2 linked regions of the Nothobranchius furzeri genome follow. The protein of the gene in region 2 purifies or fractionates together with the protein of the main gene of each other region. This does not show direct contact. Links are inferred from orthologs where the notes say so. Each region holds a gene or a part of one and is shown on either strand. Other genes may lie near its edges.

What was found.
Region 1: the proteins of heterogeneous nuclear ribonucleoprotein Q-like (region 2) and snrnp70 purify together in Homo sapiens (affinity purification with mass spectrometry; 3 studies listed by BioGRID and IntAct, counting the BioPlex papers as one, with this or other methods). This does not show direct contact. The link is inferred for Nothobranchius furzeri from reciprocal best matches to the Homo sapiens genes SYNCRIP and SNRNP70.

The regions. Positions count from the first base shown.
Region 1 is NC_091758.1:13,877,718-13,887,151, reverse strand, and holds the end of snrnp70 (U1 small nuclear ribonucleoprotein 70 kDa), read right to left. Parts: intron 7,763-9,434; coding exon 7,661-7,762; intron 3,576-7,660; coding exon 3,476-3,575; intron 3,402-3,475; coding exon 2,681-3,401; 3' UTR 2,381-2,680; downstream 1-2,380. Other genes in the region: lin7b (protein lin-7 homolog B), read right to left, coding at 406-524, 1,542-1,611. UniProt on the Homo sapiens protein: Component of the spliceosomal U1 snRNP, which is essential for recognition of the pre-mRNA 5' splice-site and the subsequent assembly of the spliceosome. SNRNP70 binds to the loop I region of U1-snRNA.
Region 2 is NC_091742.1:17,029,494-17,039,405, forward strand, and holds the start of heterogeneous nuclear ribonucleoprotein Q-like, read right to left. Parts: upstream 5,256-9,912; 5' UTR 5,116-5,255; exon of another isoform or gene 5,103-5,115; intron 2,205-5,102; coding exon 2,051-2,204; intron 1,934-2,050; coding exon 1,815-1,933; intron 1,747-1,814; coding exon 1,525-1,746; intron 1,378-1,524; coding exon 1,201-1,377; intron 1,128-1,200; coding exon 992-1,127; intron 925-991; coding exon 719-924; intron 591-718; coding exon 441-590; intron 373-440; coding exon 251-372; intron 114-250; coding exon 1-113. UniProt on the Homo sapiens protein: Heterogenous nuclear ribonucleoprotein (hnRNP) implicated in mRNA processing mechanisms. Component of the CRD-mediated complex that promotes MYC mRNA stability.

The sequences.
Region 1 (9,434 bases), on a different chromosome or scaffold from region 2:
AGAATTAGTCTTTTCCTCATCTGTAGCCAGAACCAAAAGCATCCCACTCCGAGTGATGCATCTACGAATCAAACGGGTCCCACTCACCTCATGATGTTCTAACGTTGGAGCTGTGCCTGTAGATGGAACAGCTTGATTTGACGGAAATCGGACAACAAAAGGCTGTAACACACTTCCTGTAACCAGTGGTGTGTCCAGATCTTTTAAAATGGGGTGGCCCAGGTGAGGCGCATGGGTGGCACCAATGGTTATGCTTTTTTTGTTTTACCCCCAAGCCTTTTGTGGACAATGAAAAGCCTATTTAAAGAAATTAGTGTGTTGGCACCTGGGGTGGCCAATCAGATTCCAAGGGTGGCATGTGCCACCCCAGGCCACTCCCTGGACACGCCCCTGCCTGTAACGTACCTCCCTGATGGCGGCGCAGAATTTGCTCTGGAGGACTCTCTGCAGGGCTTGCAGCTTGGGAGGGGGCAGCTCCCCGGTCCGCTGCAGCCGGTCCAGCAGCTCGATCACCCGGCACACATCTAAAAGACAAACCTGGGTTACACCGGGCTTCACCCGTAGCCCCCACCCATTACTCCTGCTGGGTCCGGAGTGATGTAGCCGTCCACCTTCTTCAGATATTCTGGTTCTGTAGACGGTTAGCCATCACCCAATGGTCAGTCTGGATCTGAAAGAGCATGACCAGCACCATCCATCACCAACCAACAGAACCACATGGACACACAGCTTTCTGCTGAGCAGGGCTACGCCTTGATGCTGGCTCGGTCCATGGCTGTGCCTCTGGACCAGAACCACAGCAGTCAGATCTGTGCTCTGGATCTCTGCAGGGAGAGCTGAGTGCTCCAGAACCATAGAGGGACTGGATATACTTCATAGAAACCCAAAGTCGACAAGGACCCGGTTCAGCTGAACGTCTCAATCCCTTTGGAACCCACAGCTAGGTTCTGCTGAACTAAACTCATATGTAGGTTTGGTTCTGTTGGGTTTTTAGACTACCAAACTGAGTCGGTGACCCAGGGCTGGTCTGGCTGACCCTAAACCAGTCCTGGTCCTGAGAGGCCAACATCCGGTCAGCTCCAACACTGATGATCAGAACCAACCCAGAAGGTCAGTTGTGCGGCGGTCAGAACCTGAGTTTCAAATTAAAAGCCTCATGAAAATATGGCTTTAGGAAAGGGTCACGTGACATAAATGTAACATTTTTACTACTGAGCTAATATTTACCCACTCACACCTGAGACGTCTCGGTTCGGAACAAGCTAGTTGGTACCGGTCCGGATCATAATGGTCCATCTTTGCAGGTGGCTATATAGAGCCGGTCCGGTTCCGACAGGCTACCGGAACCGCTCAGACATTAAACATGCAGCTGAAAACGGAACCTGGACAGGCCCAACCCGTCTGTGCTAGGCTCCCGAGTCCGAACAGAACCGCGTGAAGCAGGAAGCTCCAGAGCGGCTCACATTTGACATCAGTACATGTTTAGTCTCTGGATCCGGGATGCAAACCCGACCCAGTTCTGCTGCAGACCCGAAACCTACCTCTTTCCAGGCAGAGCGGTTCGGTCGTAGCCGACATGTCGGCTTCCTTAGGGTGGTAGGAGGACATCATCCTGAGGTCCTTGTCTGATGGTCACGGCAGGTTCTGGTCCAGGAGTCTCACAGCTGCTCTGATGAGGGCATGATGAGACCGGGCTGGTTCCGAGAGGCTGAGAGAAGCGCAGCAGCAGCAGCCCCCTCCGGGTCAGAGCTGTTCTGGACCGAACCACTGGGGAGGTTCTCATCACAACCTCGTAGGTGAGACAGTCCAGACCGTTCAGCTGGACGGAACCGGTGGGGTAAACCTGAACTCTAAAACTAGAACAGGAAACGTTACGGGCCAGGTCCACGTCAGAACCTGAACCCAAACCCGAGAATAAAATAATCAGCAGCAGATAACTTAATCCGACGTGAGGCTGCAAGTACAGAACCGGGACCAGCAGTCAGCCCCGCAGGACCCACATCTGTAGTTCTGGCGATGAAACCACTTCAGAACCTCTACGGTCTGGGTCAAAATAAAACTAGAACCTCGACTCAGTAGAAACTGAACAGTGGGTTCTCCATCCTGGTTCTGGAGGACCGGTATCCGGCAGGTTTTGGTTCCTCTGCTCAAACACCTGTTCGGCAGCACACGAAGCTCTGTGGATTAAAGGCAGGGAAAGGTCTAAAACATGCTGGAAACCGGGTCTCCAGGACCAGGACTGAGAACGTGTTTTATAAAAATATGAGTCAGAACGTCGTCCTGGTCAGCAGGACGTTCAGAAAACGTTTAGGGATTAAAGTGTGTGTGTGTTGCACCAGCACCTCAGGCAAAAGGCTGTGTACTAAAATAATCACCACTGTCACAATCAAGACATCTTTATTAAAATGACCTGCAGATATAAAAAAAAGATGAAAAACCAAAACAGGCTCAGCTGCTCCACCACAACACGTCTGCTTCTAACACCTCTAAACACACCTGGCTCCGGCTTTAAGCTCCACCCCCGACGAGCAGGGCGATCAGCGGACCTCAACATGGTTGCCATACGAGCGGAAAAAGGAAAGCTAACTAAATGTTTGGATCCTTAGGAGGTTCTGGAGGCCTGGGACAGGAAGTGGAGGGCTTGTTTAGGGGGACTTCCTGTGGGATGGGGACCTCATGCTTAGTACTCATCTGGTGCCTCCATCTTGTATCCGTTTTCGCCAGATCCATAGTCATCAGCTGACGGTGCAGACTGCTGCTCCATCATTCCATCCTGACTGTATTCCTCCATGTTTGGCGGAGCGCTGTCCTCCTCATTACCCATGTCCTCTTGAGGACCCATGTCTTCTCGATTGGACCCGTGGCGCTCCTCCCTCCGCTCCCCCCTGTCTCTGTCCCCACGCTCCCGCTTGTGTTCCCTATCTCTGTCTCGTTCCCTCCGCCGGTCTCTGTCCCTGTGACTGCGCCTCCTGTCTCGGTCTCGGTCTCTGTCCCTGTCCCTCTCTTTGCGCTCCTCTGTGGCCTCAGCCACCTCCCCTTCATTTTCCTCCAACATGCGCTCAGTTCCCTCAGGGGGACCGTCTCCCTGGGCCACTTCCTCCCCGTCCACCCCTTTACCCCTTTCCCTGTCTCTCTTACGGTCCCGGCTCCTGCTTCTCCTTTTCCGGTCTCTGCTTCTCTCCCTACTCCTGCTGTCTCCTCCACCTGCTCCCCCACGTTCCCTCTCCCGTTCACGACGCCGGCTGCTCCCACCGCCCTCCTCCCCTGCACCAACTGGCCTTTCTCTTTCCCTCTCTCTGTCCCGGGAGTGTCTGCGTCTTTCGCGGGAACGGGACCTGCGACGCTCCCTGTCCTTGTCCCGATCACGCTCCCGGCTCCGCTCCCTCCTGTCGATGCGGTCACTGTTCAGAGCAAAAGGTCAGAGGTCATAAAAAACGCATTATAACAGCAGACAGGTGTACTCAAGTGTACTCACCCCCCCAGGGTGCGATCATCATAACGAGACGCATCATCCCGTCCCGAGTGCTTGATGTTCACGTCGGCTCCACCTCTCCTAGTGCCTCCTAAGCCCCCGCCTGGAAAAACAACATAAACATTAGGGGTGGGACTTTTAACGTGTGGATTAGAAAATAAATACACATTAAAAAAATCGATGCATTTAATCACAGCTAAAACTTGAAATAATGCGGAACCTTTGTCTTTGTAGGCCGAATATCACTGATGCAGTGCTCTGCTAATCGCAGTATCTGGAAAACACGTCAGCCTCTTATTTTTCAGAGACCGTCTTTGATCCCAGCTGCTGCTCGGTGGCATTAATCTTGCGCTGAAAGCTAATTTTTGCGAGATTTGGAGTTTTCCAAACTCAGGAGAATCCATCTTGTACCGCTACAGTTCAAACCGTCTGACCTCCGGCCCAAAATAGGCCGATCCAATCATGTGTCAGCACTGTGCTGTAGGGCGGGACTTAGTTTAGATGATAGTACCAACCTGGCTAAGCAAAACGGTTGATGCTAACAGCAATCAAGTCACGACGGCAGCGCGGGCCCACGGCCAAGAATGGTCGCGGTCGGACGTCTTAAATAAGTTAAAACATGACCGAGAATTCCCTAAAATCCCATTCCGCTACATTTCTACATGTATAATTGTTATTTTATAGCTACGTGTAGTTCAACATAAAGCATGTTGTGAATCAGTCTACATCCACTAGGTGACATCATCTACATGTCAAAGAGTAAGGTGACCACCTTACATGCCGGGGACCCGGGTTTGAATCCAGGCAAGGACATACGACGATCCGACTCCGACGGCATACGGAAACGTTTTTAATTCCACTAATTATATGTATTTTCTACAGTAATAAGCCTGAATTTTAATTAGTAAACATCCAAATGAGACGCGCTGAAAGACGTTTATGTCACTTTAGAACCATTTTTCAACCATGTTGGACTGACGCAGTTTCAGTGCTTAGTTAACATTTGCTGGGTCGCTTTAGCAGGTTCGAATAACATAGCTGTGTGACTTAAAACACCTTTTATGCACATGTTGTTCTTGCAAAAGCGGCTGAAATCACCCGAAGACATGGTAATTGCCGTATGAGTGAATGAAGCTTGAGCGAGTTGTGTTACAGGTGGGCATGGTTTGAGTTGTTACTGATTGGCTAGCCAGTGTCAGATGGGCACCACCTTGACGTCCTCCAATCAGCTCAAAATATTTGGCCAGGTAGTAGATTCAAGTCCTCGGTCAGATTTGTGCCTGTTCTAGAGTCTTTAAGGATTTTTATTTATAGACATTTTACTACATAATGACTAATAAATAACAAAACACCAAAGTATACTAACAAGTAAAATCCAACTATTTCAGTAAATCAACAGAGACCATTTAAAGGCTCAGGAACTCTTTGCAGCTGTTCTGCAGTTGTACATTTTAGTTGATTTGGGTCTTGTTTCATATCACACAGTGACATTTGAAGAATTGAAAAGCATTTTTTAAATTAACTCAATCGCTGCCAGCGTTTCTCACCATTCTTACGGTTTATTTAAGAGTCACAGAACGTTGCTCACTCGACGCCAAAACTACCAAAACAAAGCGGAGACTCACCTCTTACATGCGGAAGAATCTGCGTGTTTCGAGCGTTATCTGTTCTTTCATAAACCGTTGTTGATTTGTGATCAGCAGAAGCTTTTCCGGTTCGCGCCTCACTTTTTTTACAGCAGCGGCCTAAAACGATCTCCTAACACATGGATGTTCTGCTTCCTGATCACGTGACGTGTGACGTACGCGGATGAAGATCGGCTTTAGAGCTGAGATGTTTGTTCTCTCTGCGCGGGGGCTCGTCCGACGCCCACACAGTAATGTAATTGTCATTGGCAGTGAATGAGTTAAGAGCTTTAGTTTACAGTAACAATATCCACGTTGAATGTTTCATTCTTTGTCTCATTTTTAATGAAAAAAATTGCTTTCAGGGTATTTTTTCCTGATACGATTAATTAAGATGAATTAGATTTTTTTAATCGAGTCCCACCCCTAATGAAAACACACCAAAGGAGCTCCTTTAATGCAATCTTTATGCAGATGACATCCAACTGTACATCTCCTTTAACCTTTTGGGTGCCAGAGATATTTCAAGACAATATTTAATTTTAACACAACTATTTGAAAAGGTTGTAGCTTGGAAACGGTTAGAGACAAAATTAACTGAGAAAAATCTTCAGTAGAACCGAAACAGTCATATTTTGACCTCACCAGGCTGCCGTAATGGAAATGCATCATTTTTGAATTTATCACATTTAAATTTTTTTATTTATATATCCATATATAAAGCTCCTTTGAAGTTTCAATTAGATAGTTTAGCTTTTATATTGTATTATCTGACATTTACATTGGCCTCACTCAAGAGGAATGCTTTTCAGCCATATTTGTCAGGTTTCTTTGGGCTTGTACAGCTCCAGGGATGAGTGTAATGATCATTTGACCCAAGGGAAGGAACATTTTTTATAGTTATGTGGCACAGTTTGACTTCCATATGTAACACATCTGCTGCTTTTTTTCCCCATTGCAGCGACATCTGTCACATTAGCGGTGTTTTACCATCATTTCTACATCCACCATGTTCCAAACACGGTGAAACAAACGTCAAACCTAACGCTTGGAGCTTGTAAGCTCCATACACCATACTCTCGTGCAGCACCAGCTGTCTGTTGCTGCAGTAGCGTCATCTTTCCGGCTGGATGAGTGAATTTCTTCATCAGAGACAATATTCTGCTTTATAATCGGAGTCAGTCATGACCAGACCTGCCTGCAATTTAAGTTTTATCCCTCTAATATTCGCCCTCTCCGTGCTGCGCTCGTCTCCACCCGTCCTCTCCTCGACTGGGAACCTCTCGCAGTTTTCAAACCCTAAAAACTCAGAAACTGTTAATATAAACGCACCCATAAGTGTTGTTCAGCCTGAAGTTACACATCTCCACTATCTTCTGGTGTAAAGTAGTGACTTCATGAGGGATGGTAGCTGTGGCTTGTTAAAGTCAGCAACAACGCTTTTCGCAGTATTGTGACTGTGGCGCTTAAAGGGTTGAGCCCCATGAGATGTCAAAGCTGCAGCTGTTACACACCTGCTTAGTATCATAACCTGGATGGTGGGAGCTTTCTTCAGCTGAATGAAGATAAGACTGAGATCCTCATCTGTGCCCCAGACAAGCTGGTCCCCAAAGTCAGAGACTCTCTTGGTCAGCTTGCTTCTCACACCAAACCCTCTGTCAGGAATCTTGGTGTGACCTTTGACCCAGCTCTCACCCTGGATTCTCATGTTAGTTCTCTTGTTCGCTCTTCCTTCTTCCATCTCAGGAACGTTGCTAAGCTGAGTCCCATTCTGTCTCGCTCTGAACTTGAGACAGTTCTCCACACCTTCATCTCCTCACGCTTAGACTACTGTAACTCTCTTTTCACGTGTCTGAGCAGAACCTCCCTGAACCGTCTACAGGTGGTCCAGAATGCCTGTGCTCGGCTTCTGACCAAGTCCTCCAAACACACCCACATCACCCCGCTTCTCCTCCAGCTTCACTGGCTGCCAGTCAACTTCAGGGTTCATTTCAAGATCCTGGTTCTGGTCTATAGGGCCTTACATGGACAAGCACCATCATACATTGGTGATCTTCTTAGTCCCTACACCCCCAGCAGGTCCCTGAGGTCCAGTGATCAAAGCCTACTGGTTGTGCAGCACCAGGCTAAAGACCAAAGGTGACAGATCATCTGCTGCTGTGGCCCCCAGACTCTGGAACTCTCCCGCTGAGCCTGAGATCAGTGGACTCAGTGGTCTCCTTTAAACTCACCTGTTCAGGCTTTAGTGTGACCTTCATCACCCTCTCCTTGTTCTGCTCTCCCCACCTATTCCACCTTCCTCAGGATCCACTGATTTCCCTCTTTCCTGTTCACTCTCTCTCTTTCTGTACATTTTTAATCACAATTGTCTATTTTTTGCTCATTTTAATTAATATTTTTTGCAGTTTGAAATTTTTGTTTTGGTGAAGTGCCTCGTGATTTTTATCTTGTTTTGTTGTCTAAATTTTATTTTTTGTGTTGCTTCAGAAAAGATGGACACTAACCCTAACCTGGCTCTCTGTGCAACAGAGGACACGTCTACATTTAAAAGGGACAAACTGACCCAGCCTGCGAGGACGCCATCCTTTGACAGTACGTCCCCGTTCCACGTCCACCAACACCCGTCTGCCATCAATCTTCTTTCCGTCCGCGTGCTTGTAGGCGGCTGCAAGAGAGGGGAAAGAGGGAAGGCGGAGTTAAGATGGGAGTTCCAACAGCACCAGTTTGGGCAAGGGAGAAAAAAATAGAAATGAAAACAGGAAACGGTGCTTTAATATACTGACCAGGAGCAGGTGAAGCCGAGATGGCTGCTCCCTGGGTAAAAGCCGAAGGATTACGGAAGAGGACCTCCTTCCACCCGATGAGTGACTGATACGTTACACTCTGACCGTCATTAAGCCCTGAGGCCCGGCTCATTTAGATCCCACGGTTCTAACGTAGCCAGCAACATCACATCTGTGTGTGTGTGGTGTGTGTGTGTGTGTGTGGTGTGTGTGTGTGTATGCAGTGATCCCTCGCTACTTCGCAGTTCGTTTTATCATGGATTCACGACCGCGGATTTTTTCTTTGGAGCCTTATTGAAGGGAAATTCGCCGATTCGCGGTATTTTTCTATGCGAAATATCAAGAAATTCCTGTTTTTTTTCATCGATTTTATCATAAAATGCACTTTTTGTAATAAAACTATAAAAAAAAAACAAGTAAAAATACAGTACTATGTAAATGGAGGGTTTTAAAAGTCTGAATACTGAATACGAACCTGTTAAATAAATACTGTAAATATGGTGTCCCTACTTCGCGGATTTTCACCTATCACATCCAGGTCTGGAACGCATCTACCGCGATAAACGAGGGATCACTGTACAGCCAATACCACATCTCATCATCCAGTCTAGCCAGCTGATGAATTCAAGGCCACACGGACCAAAGCTGGCTGTCTAAAATCAGAATTACTTTTAGTTTTGGAGAGTTTAAATCTAGAGTGATTCCAGGAAGCCCGGAACGGACCCATCACCGTGTGGCGCACTAGACACTCATTCCATGAGCTTGCTGCCAATGGCCTCATGAACATCTGAGCCACCGGTAGAGCCTTACCAAAATTCCTCTGCACCAGAGCAGCATCACAACCTCTCCATCAGGGGCCTTACCACCACCCCTCCACTTCCTGGTTCACCAGAGATGACAACAAGTTACCCACCCAATGATAGGGCCTTACCAAACCCCCAATAGTCCCACAAAAATGGACCAACTGAGGAAACAAAACAATAAACAAACACAAGGTAGTTAAAAAAAAAAAAAAAAAAAAAACAAGCACAAAACTGGGCGACCTGTTGGAGTAATCCCAACCAAGTGAAGTCATGTTCCTACCACAGGTCTAAGGTGAGTGGAGACCTCTCTCTGACCGAGTCAGGAGTGTGTTTACTGGTGGGCTGTGGCTACAGGGACTCGTGAGCTCATCAGTGAAGCTGTAGTGGTGTGTGTCTGCCTGGGAATGTAATGCATGAACAGTCCATTTAGTTGAGTTATCAAAGAGTTTCCCTCATCTGCCTCTTCCATTAAAGCCAGCTCCAGACTGGTGTTGTCCCACTGCATCCACATATCCCTTACTGGTGATTTAAACTAAAACGTGTTGTCCTGGACTACCTGCACCACAACCACAGGGTTGCCGATGACAGCTTTGATACGAAATGACAGCAGCACGCTGAAGTTCATCTTCCACTTCTGAAGGTGTTTAAAAGTATTTACCAACAACCCTCAACATCCTAGCAGATATGGTATCCTCTACTGCTCTTCATCACTACAGACTAAAGATTGGTTCATGCTTGATGCGTCCGCACG
Region 2 (9,912 bases):
AACTGTAGTAGTCAGGAGCGTAGGAGTAGCCGCCGCGATTGGCCCCTCGGCCCCGCCCCCTGCTGGAAGGAGATACGTGGGCAGGAGGGGGGAAGTGGTAATAGTCATTAAACCTGGTGGATAGAAAAAAAACACACATCAAAGCTCTGATTCTCCAGGTAAACCACTATTATAAAGCTGTTTGTTTCTTTAGGCTCACTGTGGGTAAATAGTGATGATGTCATCCTGCCACTTAAGGGGAGGGACTTACATCTGTGTCCTAGCGGCTTGTCTCTGGGCTTTACGCTCTTGTCTTTTCAGATCTGGCGGTTTGGCAAAAACAATCTCGATGGGCTCCCCTTCCAGCTCCTTCCCGTTCAGGTCTTGAAGGGCCTGACGAACACAAACCGGGTTTAGGACGCCGTCTGAAGCGGCTGTACGGTGTTGGAGTTCTGCCGTACCTTTGCTGCTCCGTCCCGCTCTGCAAAGTGAATAAAGGCGTAGTCTTTTAGTTTCTTCACTCGCTCTAAATTTCCAAACTGGCTGAAGGTCGTCTCCAGGAGCTCCTCCGTAACGCCGTTGGCGAGATTCCTGACAAATAAGACCTTCACCTGCAACAGGAAGCAGCAGCAGCTCAGCTTCGGGCCGCCTGTCCCGCCGCGCTACTTTAACTGAAATATACGTTATTAGTTCCTGACTTCCCCTCGAGCCTCTTCGGGCTCGGTAAGTCTCGGCTCACCTTGGCCATGACATCTGGGTCGGGGTCCTCGATGGGATCCGCCCACTCGACCGTCACCAGGTTGCCCCAGACCTTGACCTTACCGCTCATTAGTCGGCGGCGGGCCTGAGCAGCGGTTTTGTGGTCTTCGTACTCCAGGAAGCAGAAACCTCGGTTCTTCTTCTTGTCATCGGGTTGATGGTACAGTATGACATCACTGACACCTTCTGCTCAGACAGAAAACAGCGATCACAGAGGGCTTGTGGTCAGATGCGTTTCTACGGCAGCGCCTACCTGTGACTTTAGAGAACTCTTCCACGATCTGCTCCTTGTTTTTGTTCTTGGGGATGGAGCCAACAAACAGCCTGTTGTTGGCAACAGAGATGCAAACGCCGATGTGCTTCCCAGGGCGGATCTCGTAGTTGTTACACTACACAACACAACACAGAGCTTAGAGATGATGAGTTTACCTTCAACACCTGGGCTACTTCTGTTTAACTGACCAGCTTCACAGCCTCCTGGGCTCCTTCTTTAGCACAGAAGGTGATGAAGGCGTAGCCCCTGTTCAGGCTGCTCAGGGGGTCCATCATTAACCTGAGGTCCCAGATAGGCCCCGCCTTCTCAAAGAGAGGAACCAGCTCATCTTCAAACAGGTCACGAGGAATCTTTCCAACAAATATCTGGGGGTGGGAGTCCAACCGTGTCCGTTAGGCTGTCCGTGTTTCATTGGTGATAGCATTTACTGGCTGTGTGTTTGACCTTCATAAGCTGAAACATAAATGATTTTTCCCTCTCAGGTTTGATCTTCAGACCCGCAGACATCTCACCTCAGTCCCGATGGTTGGCTGGGGACCGGAGAACACAGACTCGGGTGGAGGTCCTCCGTACTTCCTCTGGCCTGTCGTTACGTCCAGGGTGTAGCTGGTTCTTTCTAGCAGCTCTTTTATCTTTGCCTCGTCTGGTCCTTTGGTGGAAGGTGAGACTTTAGTCCCTTGTTTCTCTCTCTGCCTGTAGGTCTTCATCACCCCACAAAGAAAGGCACTTTTGTTCTGGAAAACAACAATTCCTTTTCAAATGAAAAAAGTCAGTGTGAAAGCCTCCAGGTGAGGATGCTTACCTGTACGTGTGACAGATCACTCTCCTTAAACTGGACCAGCACCTGCAGAGCTCCATCTTCATTAAACTCCTTTAAAGCTTCGAGGGCTCGTTCATCCAGGTCACTGTGAGCCACCAGACCTGTGGCAGGAAATGCAGTAACTATTATTAGATGCACTTAATGATGTTCTGCTCTCACACCAACCAACACCACCATACAGGTAGGAAACACTGTTGTCAGGTAACTGCAGACCGTACCTTCTGCAAACAGCTCATCTAGCTTCTCCGCTACCTTCTGAGCTAAACCAGCTTCCAACAAGGCCGGGAAATGTTCCGTGTGGGCCACTGCTGATGTGTCCGTGGGCTCCTCTGTGTTCCCGTTAACGTGGTCTGTGGCCATGTCTCCAGACATCTGCAGACACAGAGCTCAGTTACCACCGGGGCTCATGGGAGACAGATCTATGTCTTTTAGAAACGCTGAGTAAACATGTACAAATTGTTCTGTAGCCAGTTTTAAACCGTTAGATCTTTAACTAGAAGTGCTCACGGCGCATGTGCACACATGCATCAGCGCAGCTCACCAGCTGTTTCCCTATTTGCTCATTTTTATTTGTACACTATTGCACACAATAACAAGGACTGTCAAGACGGCGTGTTTGTCAGATTAAACTGATAAGATGTTGATTCACTTTCATCGTCTTCCTCCTCCAACCTCCAGCGATCCCAACGGACAATAACAACTGGGGATGTATGCTTACCAAACTTTCTTTAACCGGCTAGCGACGCTCCGTAGCGGTCAATAGCCCCCCCCAAACATTTGCCTCGCTCTATGAATAACACTTTCTCCATCTACTCTTTAATACAATGACTCACGACTTAAGTCCCACACTCGTTATGTTTATGAACAAAAGTAAAGAGAGTGGGATGACAGCTGGATTGTCCGTCAGACTCAGCGGACCATCTGATCTCAGATACGCAGCGCTGCTTGTGATCACGTGCTGATAAGTGCAGTCTGGCCGCGGTTTTAACACCTAGTGTAATTATTTAGTTGAATGCAAGAAAACTTAATTTCTTTATTGTACTGGACAAATAAGGCATCAGGCATAAGGAGCGTCACGGCCGACGGACCTGCTGCTGGTCTCGGCTCGGCGCTCTGATGTGAGGCTTTTTGTGCTCCAAGAATGAAATAACGAAAGAACAAACAATAACCGCTAACTCTAATAACCGCTTGTGTTTCAGCACATTTGTTAGGTCTTGTGATGAGCTCATTTCTTCTTCTGCGGTCGCCCAGTAAACCATTTGACAGTGGCACTCTTGCGTCCTCTAGTGGCACAAAATATATTGCACCAAGCACAGCAGAAGGACTTGAAACAGTTAACTGGAAAAAACTAGTTTACCTGGTCACAACATTAAAGGCAATTAAGCAGTTAACTACGTGCATCCCTAATAATACGATAAGTCTGACGTGTTGTGTAAAAACAGCTGATTTTAGCATATTTGTGGGCCCAACATGTCGCTACCAGACATACAGTGTGAGCACGTAACTCGTGAGACTTGCTCTGCAAGGAAGTCGTACAGTTTGAGCTGAAACTCAACTCTACCAGTTAAAACACCGCCCAGTTAAAGGGCAAATTTTTATTTCCTGTGATGAAATGTAGATCCCTTTGCGTTGGTTGCACCAGCACATGTAACAGTTTGGACTGTTTACCATGATGCTTCTTTCATTTAAATTCAGTCTCGGAAATATTCCTCAGCTTTTAGTATCGCGATATTTTCTACTCTGTATCGCGATACGTATCGTATGAACATGCATCCCTAACTCTGAACACAAAGTTTTTACGACAGAATAAACCCCCTCAATGCTCTTGACTTACTAGTTTGATTATGAATCTTTTCTTATCCAGTCACATCTTATCAGTCTTACTCCACTCCCACTTCCTGTTTGAAAAATGCAACAAATGCTGTTGCCTAGCGCACGCACACACACACGAACACAGGTTCACAACAACATTGTGACATAATGTACCAGCTAACGTCATGGTGTACCTCTTAGCCAATAGCAATGTCAGATTTAAATTCAGCTGCAGTGCAGGGTGTTTACCTGAACACGGTGCGACACTGAGTTTTAGGAATATTATTTACATTTGAAGTATGATACACTAAAGGCCCAAATTATTGACTGCATGCGTCTACAGCCCGATTAGACACTAGTTTATATAATGTATCAGCAAAAGAAGTAGATTTGGGGGTGACTTGCTCTTTAAAGTTGATAACCCTGGTCCAATGGTCTAACCCTTGTCCTCCAGGGCCACCGTTCTGGTGTGTCTGCTCCAGTAATTGGTTTCTTAGGGAAGCGAACTGAACCAGGTGTGTTGGAGCAGGAAAACAACCAAAACATGCTACACGGTGGCCCGGGAAGACCAGCGTTAGATTGCCCTGGCCTAACTGTTGTGTTAGTGGGTAAATCTACCGATAACACCTGTTGTGATCCTAGACTGGTTTAAACACAGCTAACTGATCTGTTTCCGGGTGACTTCAGACAACAGCCGCCGGTATTTGGCGCCATCGAGCTGGACAGCGGACATCGTCTGACCACACTGATCCGGTTAGATCGTTACTAAACTGAAAACCCATCAGCGACAGATCGGAGTCGTTTAAAACAAACAAAAACATGGATAAGTAGCCCCAGAGCAGCGACCCGGTCTAATGGACCATAACTGCTGAAACCAACACTCACCACACCTGAGAGCGCGTGGGGCTCGAGTAATAATAATAATAATAATAATGCACTGAGTTTATATAGCGCTTTTCTAGACACCCAAAGACGCTTTCACACACTCTCACATTCACACACTTGTAGCCACAGCCGCCCTGGGGAGGTCTGACAGAGGCGAGGCTGCCATTTGGCGCCGTCGGCCCCTCTGACCACCACTAACACAGGCAAGTTGGGTGAAGTGTCTTGCCCAAGGACACAACAGCAGGATACCCCTGGCGGGAGCTGGAATCGAACCCATGACCCTCCGATCACGAGGCAATCCGCTCTACCACCTGAGCTACTGCTTCCCCCGTAGTAGGCCTCGGTAGTTACCGCGCCGACACCGGTGAATGGAGAACGTGTACCGTGATGTATTAAACACTGTTGGCTATGAGCCATAAGCTCTCCTTTCCCTGCATTACCCCAATAACGGCATCGATGGACGCGTGTCCGATTCTTTCCTCAAAAGACCGGTTAGCACAGCCGGTCGAGCAGCACGCTGTAGAGGCGCGTGCACGAGCCAAACTCGGGGCTACCATGTTTGTTGCTACCTACCACGCGAAGCTACCTGTGGGTGCACGATGCTGATCCGCCGTGTTGATGATAGTCCAAATTAAGAGAAACGTTAGCGCGGGTAATCTCTTGGTTGACACCCGGGATACAAAATGGCGTCTGTATAACGTCGCGAGCGCTGCTGCTTCATTTTAGCATAAACGGGGCTTCTGAGTGACCTTCGCAGGGGCTCCTCCGGTTTCACCACCGCCCGGTGAGCGATGCTATGGGATTAGATTTGTGCCAATAGGATCAAGAAAAACACTTTGAAGATCAAATATTAAGACATTGCGAGAGAAAAAAATTGTTTCAAAAGAAAAACTTATGATCTGAATCAACTTCTTAAAATGAGTAACAAAGTATGTTTCCTTTTTCTGTTTGCCTCTATGTGTTTTTGTTATCAGTTTCCTTAGTTTCGTTCTCGCTGCACACAGCTTAGCTCTCACTACCAGATTTGCACTTAAACTTTCTGGCTTTCTCTTTTGCAATCCCTGAGTTTTTGGTTGCAATTCTGACACAACCCTTTCGGGTGGGTGGGACTTCTGAGAAGTCCTCTCCTATAGGACAGTGGTTTCTCTTGAGTGACTGTTCAGTGACCCGGAAGTGATGTAGCCTCCAAGACATTCTTTTCCCACCTCGGTCAACAACATGAATTTTGAGCCCCAAACACATTATTTCTGCTGTCTGTGGTGTCTACTGAGGATCTAAAGTGACAATTGATGATATATTTGATCTTTTCTTAGTTAATCTGTAAATTAAGCCACTTTTTAAGTTGGTTTTAACCAGACGTTAGCTCACTAGCTAGCTGCTAAGCAAGCATTGTGCTAGCCTAAGGACAATGGTCTATTGTTCCAGAGAGACGTATTAAAAATTCATCTTAACATATTCATTACTGGTTTCATGGAATTAATTATTGCAGTTTATGTTAATAAGTTTGCTAATTTTTCAGGAACCTGTGGAACATCAGAGACTTTGCAGCTACTGGAGCTAACCTGTGTACTGCTAACTTGCTACAGAGGAAGCAGCAGAAAGCTGAGCTAACAGGCTAGTTTGCAGGTAAATACTCTTTTAGTGGAACTGTAGGATTTTTATGGTATAACTCAGACAGAATCTACATGAGCTATTGTGGGAAGACATTTTAACTACATTTACATACAGATACATGTATTTTTTCTTCCATGTTACTTGGACGGGCTAAACAAGTTCATAGTTCTGCCTGCTCCTTTTTCAGTGAAACGAATGGATTATATGATGTAACTCTGACTGAATAATAATCTAAGTGAGCATGTTTGATAATACATTTCTTACTAGTATACAGATCTGACATTTGTTTGTCAGAACAGGACAAATCAGATTCAACCGCTCAGATTGGTCACTTCAAACAAGGAAAATCTCTGGCTCTCACAGACCTGTAACGTCTTCTTTAAGAAGCTTTTCTGTCCTCCAGTCGTTACTTGTATTAATGGCACCTGTTTGAACTCATTATAAGACACCTGTCCACAGCCTCAAACAGTCACACTCCAAACTCCACTATGGCCAAGACCAAAGAGCTTTCGAAGGACACCAGGAAAAGAATTGTAGACCTGCACCAGGCTGGGAAGAGTGAATCTACAATAGGCAAGCAGCTTGGTGTGAAAAAATCAACTATGGGAGCAATTATCAGAAAATGGAAGACATACAAGACCACTGATAATCTCCCTCGATCTGGGGCTCCACGCAAGCTCTCATCCCGTGGGGTCAAAATGATCATGAGAACGGTGAGCAAGAATCCCAGAACCACACGGGGGGACCTGGTGAATGACCTGCAGAGAGCTGGGACCACAGTAACAAAGGTCACCATCAGTAACACACTACAACGGCAGAGAATCAAATCCTGCAGTGCCAGACGTGTTCCGCTGCTGAAGCCAGTGCATGTCCAGGCCCGTCTGAAGTTTGCCAGAGAGCACATGGATGATACAGTAGAGGATTGGGAGAATGTCATGTGGTCAGATGAAACCAAAGAAGAACTTTTTGGTATAAACTCAACTCGTCGTGTTTGGAGGAAGAAGAATACTGAGTTGCATCCCAAGAACACCATACCTACTGTGAAGCATGGGGGTGGGAACATCATGCTTTGGGGCTGTTTTTCTGCTAAGAGGACAGGACGACTGATCCGTGTTAAGGAAATAATGAATGGGGCCATGTATCGTGAGATTCTGAGCCAAAACCTTCTTCCATCAGTGAGAGCTTTGAAGATGAAACGTGGCTGGGTCTTCCAACACGACAATGATCCCAAACACACTGCCCGGACAACAAAGGAGTGGCATTTGAAAGTCCTGTAGTGGCCTAGCCAGTCTCCAGACCTCAACCCCATAGAAAATCTGTGGAGGGAGTTGAAAGTCTGTGTTGCTCGGCGACAGCCCCAAAACATCACTGCTCTCGAGAAGATCTGCATGGAGGAATGGGCCAAAATACCAGCTACTGTGTGTGCAAACCTGGTAAAGACCTATAGTAATCGTTTGATCTCTGTTATTGCCAACAAAGGTTATGTTACAAAGTATTGAGTTGAATTTTTGTTATTGACCAAATACTTATTTTCCACCCTGATTTACAAATAAAATTTTAAAAAATCCTGCCATGTGAATTCATGGATTTTTTTTCACATTCTGTCTCTCACAGTTGAAGTGTTCCTATGTTGTAAATTACTGACCTCTGTCATCATTTTAAGTGGGAGAACTTGCACAATCGGTGGCTGACTAAATACTTTTTTGCCCCACTGTAATACATATATATATATATATATATATATATATATATATATATATATATATATATATATATATATATATATATATATATATATACATAATGTCTAGATGGATAGTTTATCCAGCTTATTTTGAAATTCAAATAGTTTCTTTTTCTTCAGGGGATAACTTATCTGGACAAATAGATGACAACTGTGTTTTTTTAGAAATCACATTTTCTTCTTCATAATGTTTGCATTTTGCTAGCTCACTACAGTATTTTCTAAAAAAAATTTCCAGCTTTAAACTTTAGAAGTTCCCATTTACTCCCATATACTTTTTCAGCCTGGGCCTCATTCCAAAAAGCTTGTATTAGTTCCTTAACCTTGGCTTTTACTATGCCATGACACAAGATGGAGCTGTTGAGTTTCCAGTATGCACTATGTTGGTGTGTGGTGGAAGAAGGAAGTACAGAAATGTTCATTTGGATGGCCTTGTGGTCAGTCAAATGAGTCGAGAGAATGTCAACCTTGACATATTCATCGAGAATATTTGAAATTAACCAAAAATCTATTCTTGATTGTCTGGTTCTTGTTTATTACCCCAGGTAAAAATTCTGTCATGTGGGTATTTTTTCCTCCAAATATCTATTAGATCAAATCTTTGCATTATTGATTTTAGGTGTATATTAGCATTAGATTGAGGACCTGGTGGCCACCTATCCATGGTGTTGTCCAAAGTGACATTAAAATCATCTCCTATAACTAGATAAGCATGAGGGAATTTAGCCAACCAATAACAAATTGTCTTTTCCATGATTGTAAGCAAATTGTTATTCTCACATGTCGAGTTTAATCCATATATGTTAATTAGAATGAAGTTGTAAGTATATATTTCCAGAATCTGACATATATAGTGACCATTATCATCACAGTCAGTATGTATTATTTTATCAGTAAAAGTGTTTAAGAGTACAAACTCCAGCAGACCTTTGTGTAGCATGTGAGAAAAAGGTCTCATTTCCCCACTGAGATTTCCAAAAGCAGACATCATCATCACCTGTATGAGTTTCCTGAACAAAACAAAAATCAGTTTTGCATTGTTTCCCAAACACAAATAAAGCTTTTCGTTTCAAGTTATCCCTTAGACCCCTGGCGTTGAGAGAAACTATGGATAACAACAAATCTGTGATATTAAGATGAACTTTAACTTGTCGATCACACAGTTCTTACCCTGCGAGCTAAATGAAGGGTTGATACGAGAACAGCATCAAAATAAGGTATAAGAACATGTAAATACAACATAAATGCACGGCAAATGAGCCAACAGTCACTTGCAGAACTTAAGGCAAATTGTCTGGGGGAACATGGTGCAAGTGTGGAGTTGCTCCTCAACTCAGGCTGGAGGAAAAATCTTTTTCTCAATAAAAGCACAGCCTCCTACAAAGTATGCGATTTTCCCCGCCTTGCGTGCTTCACTCACAAGCGGCCAGAGATTCAGCCTTGCTTCTCTATCAGCTTTGCAGGGATCTTCCGCAAAGCGTAGACCATTCCCTCGAAGGTAGGTTGAGTTTTCGCTGCAGCCCACACCGCAGCTCTTTGCACCCGTAAGGAGAACTGTATGATGATGCCTCTGGTGGCGCTCGGTTTCTTCACCCCGACCCGGTGGACTGTGTCGATAACATCTGGGAGTTGTTCAGCATCTGATGGCAGCAGCTCCTGGCAGATACGGGTCACGTCTTTCCACACATCTTTGTCTTCCACCCTCTCAGACACTCCGTGTAACTTTAAATTCCAGTGCCTCGAATATCTATTTCAGTTATGCGCGATTCAAGCGTGAGAAGCTGCTTCTTTTCTTCTGTAACAGTGACTTCGAGTTGAGAGACCTTACCCTTTACCTCAATCACTTGCTTGCAGAGGACATCCAAATCTCCCCTCAGGCTCGAGATTTGAGCTGTATTATCCTTAACCACAGTCTTCAGTTCATCCGATCTGGCGTTGATCAACATTGATAAAGAGGTGACAGTATCGTTGTTTGCCATTTCAGATTTACCTTTCTTACTGGGCAGTTTCTCTGGGGTAATGGGG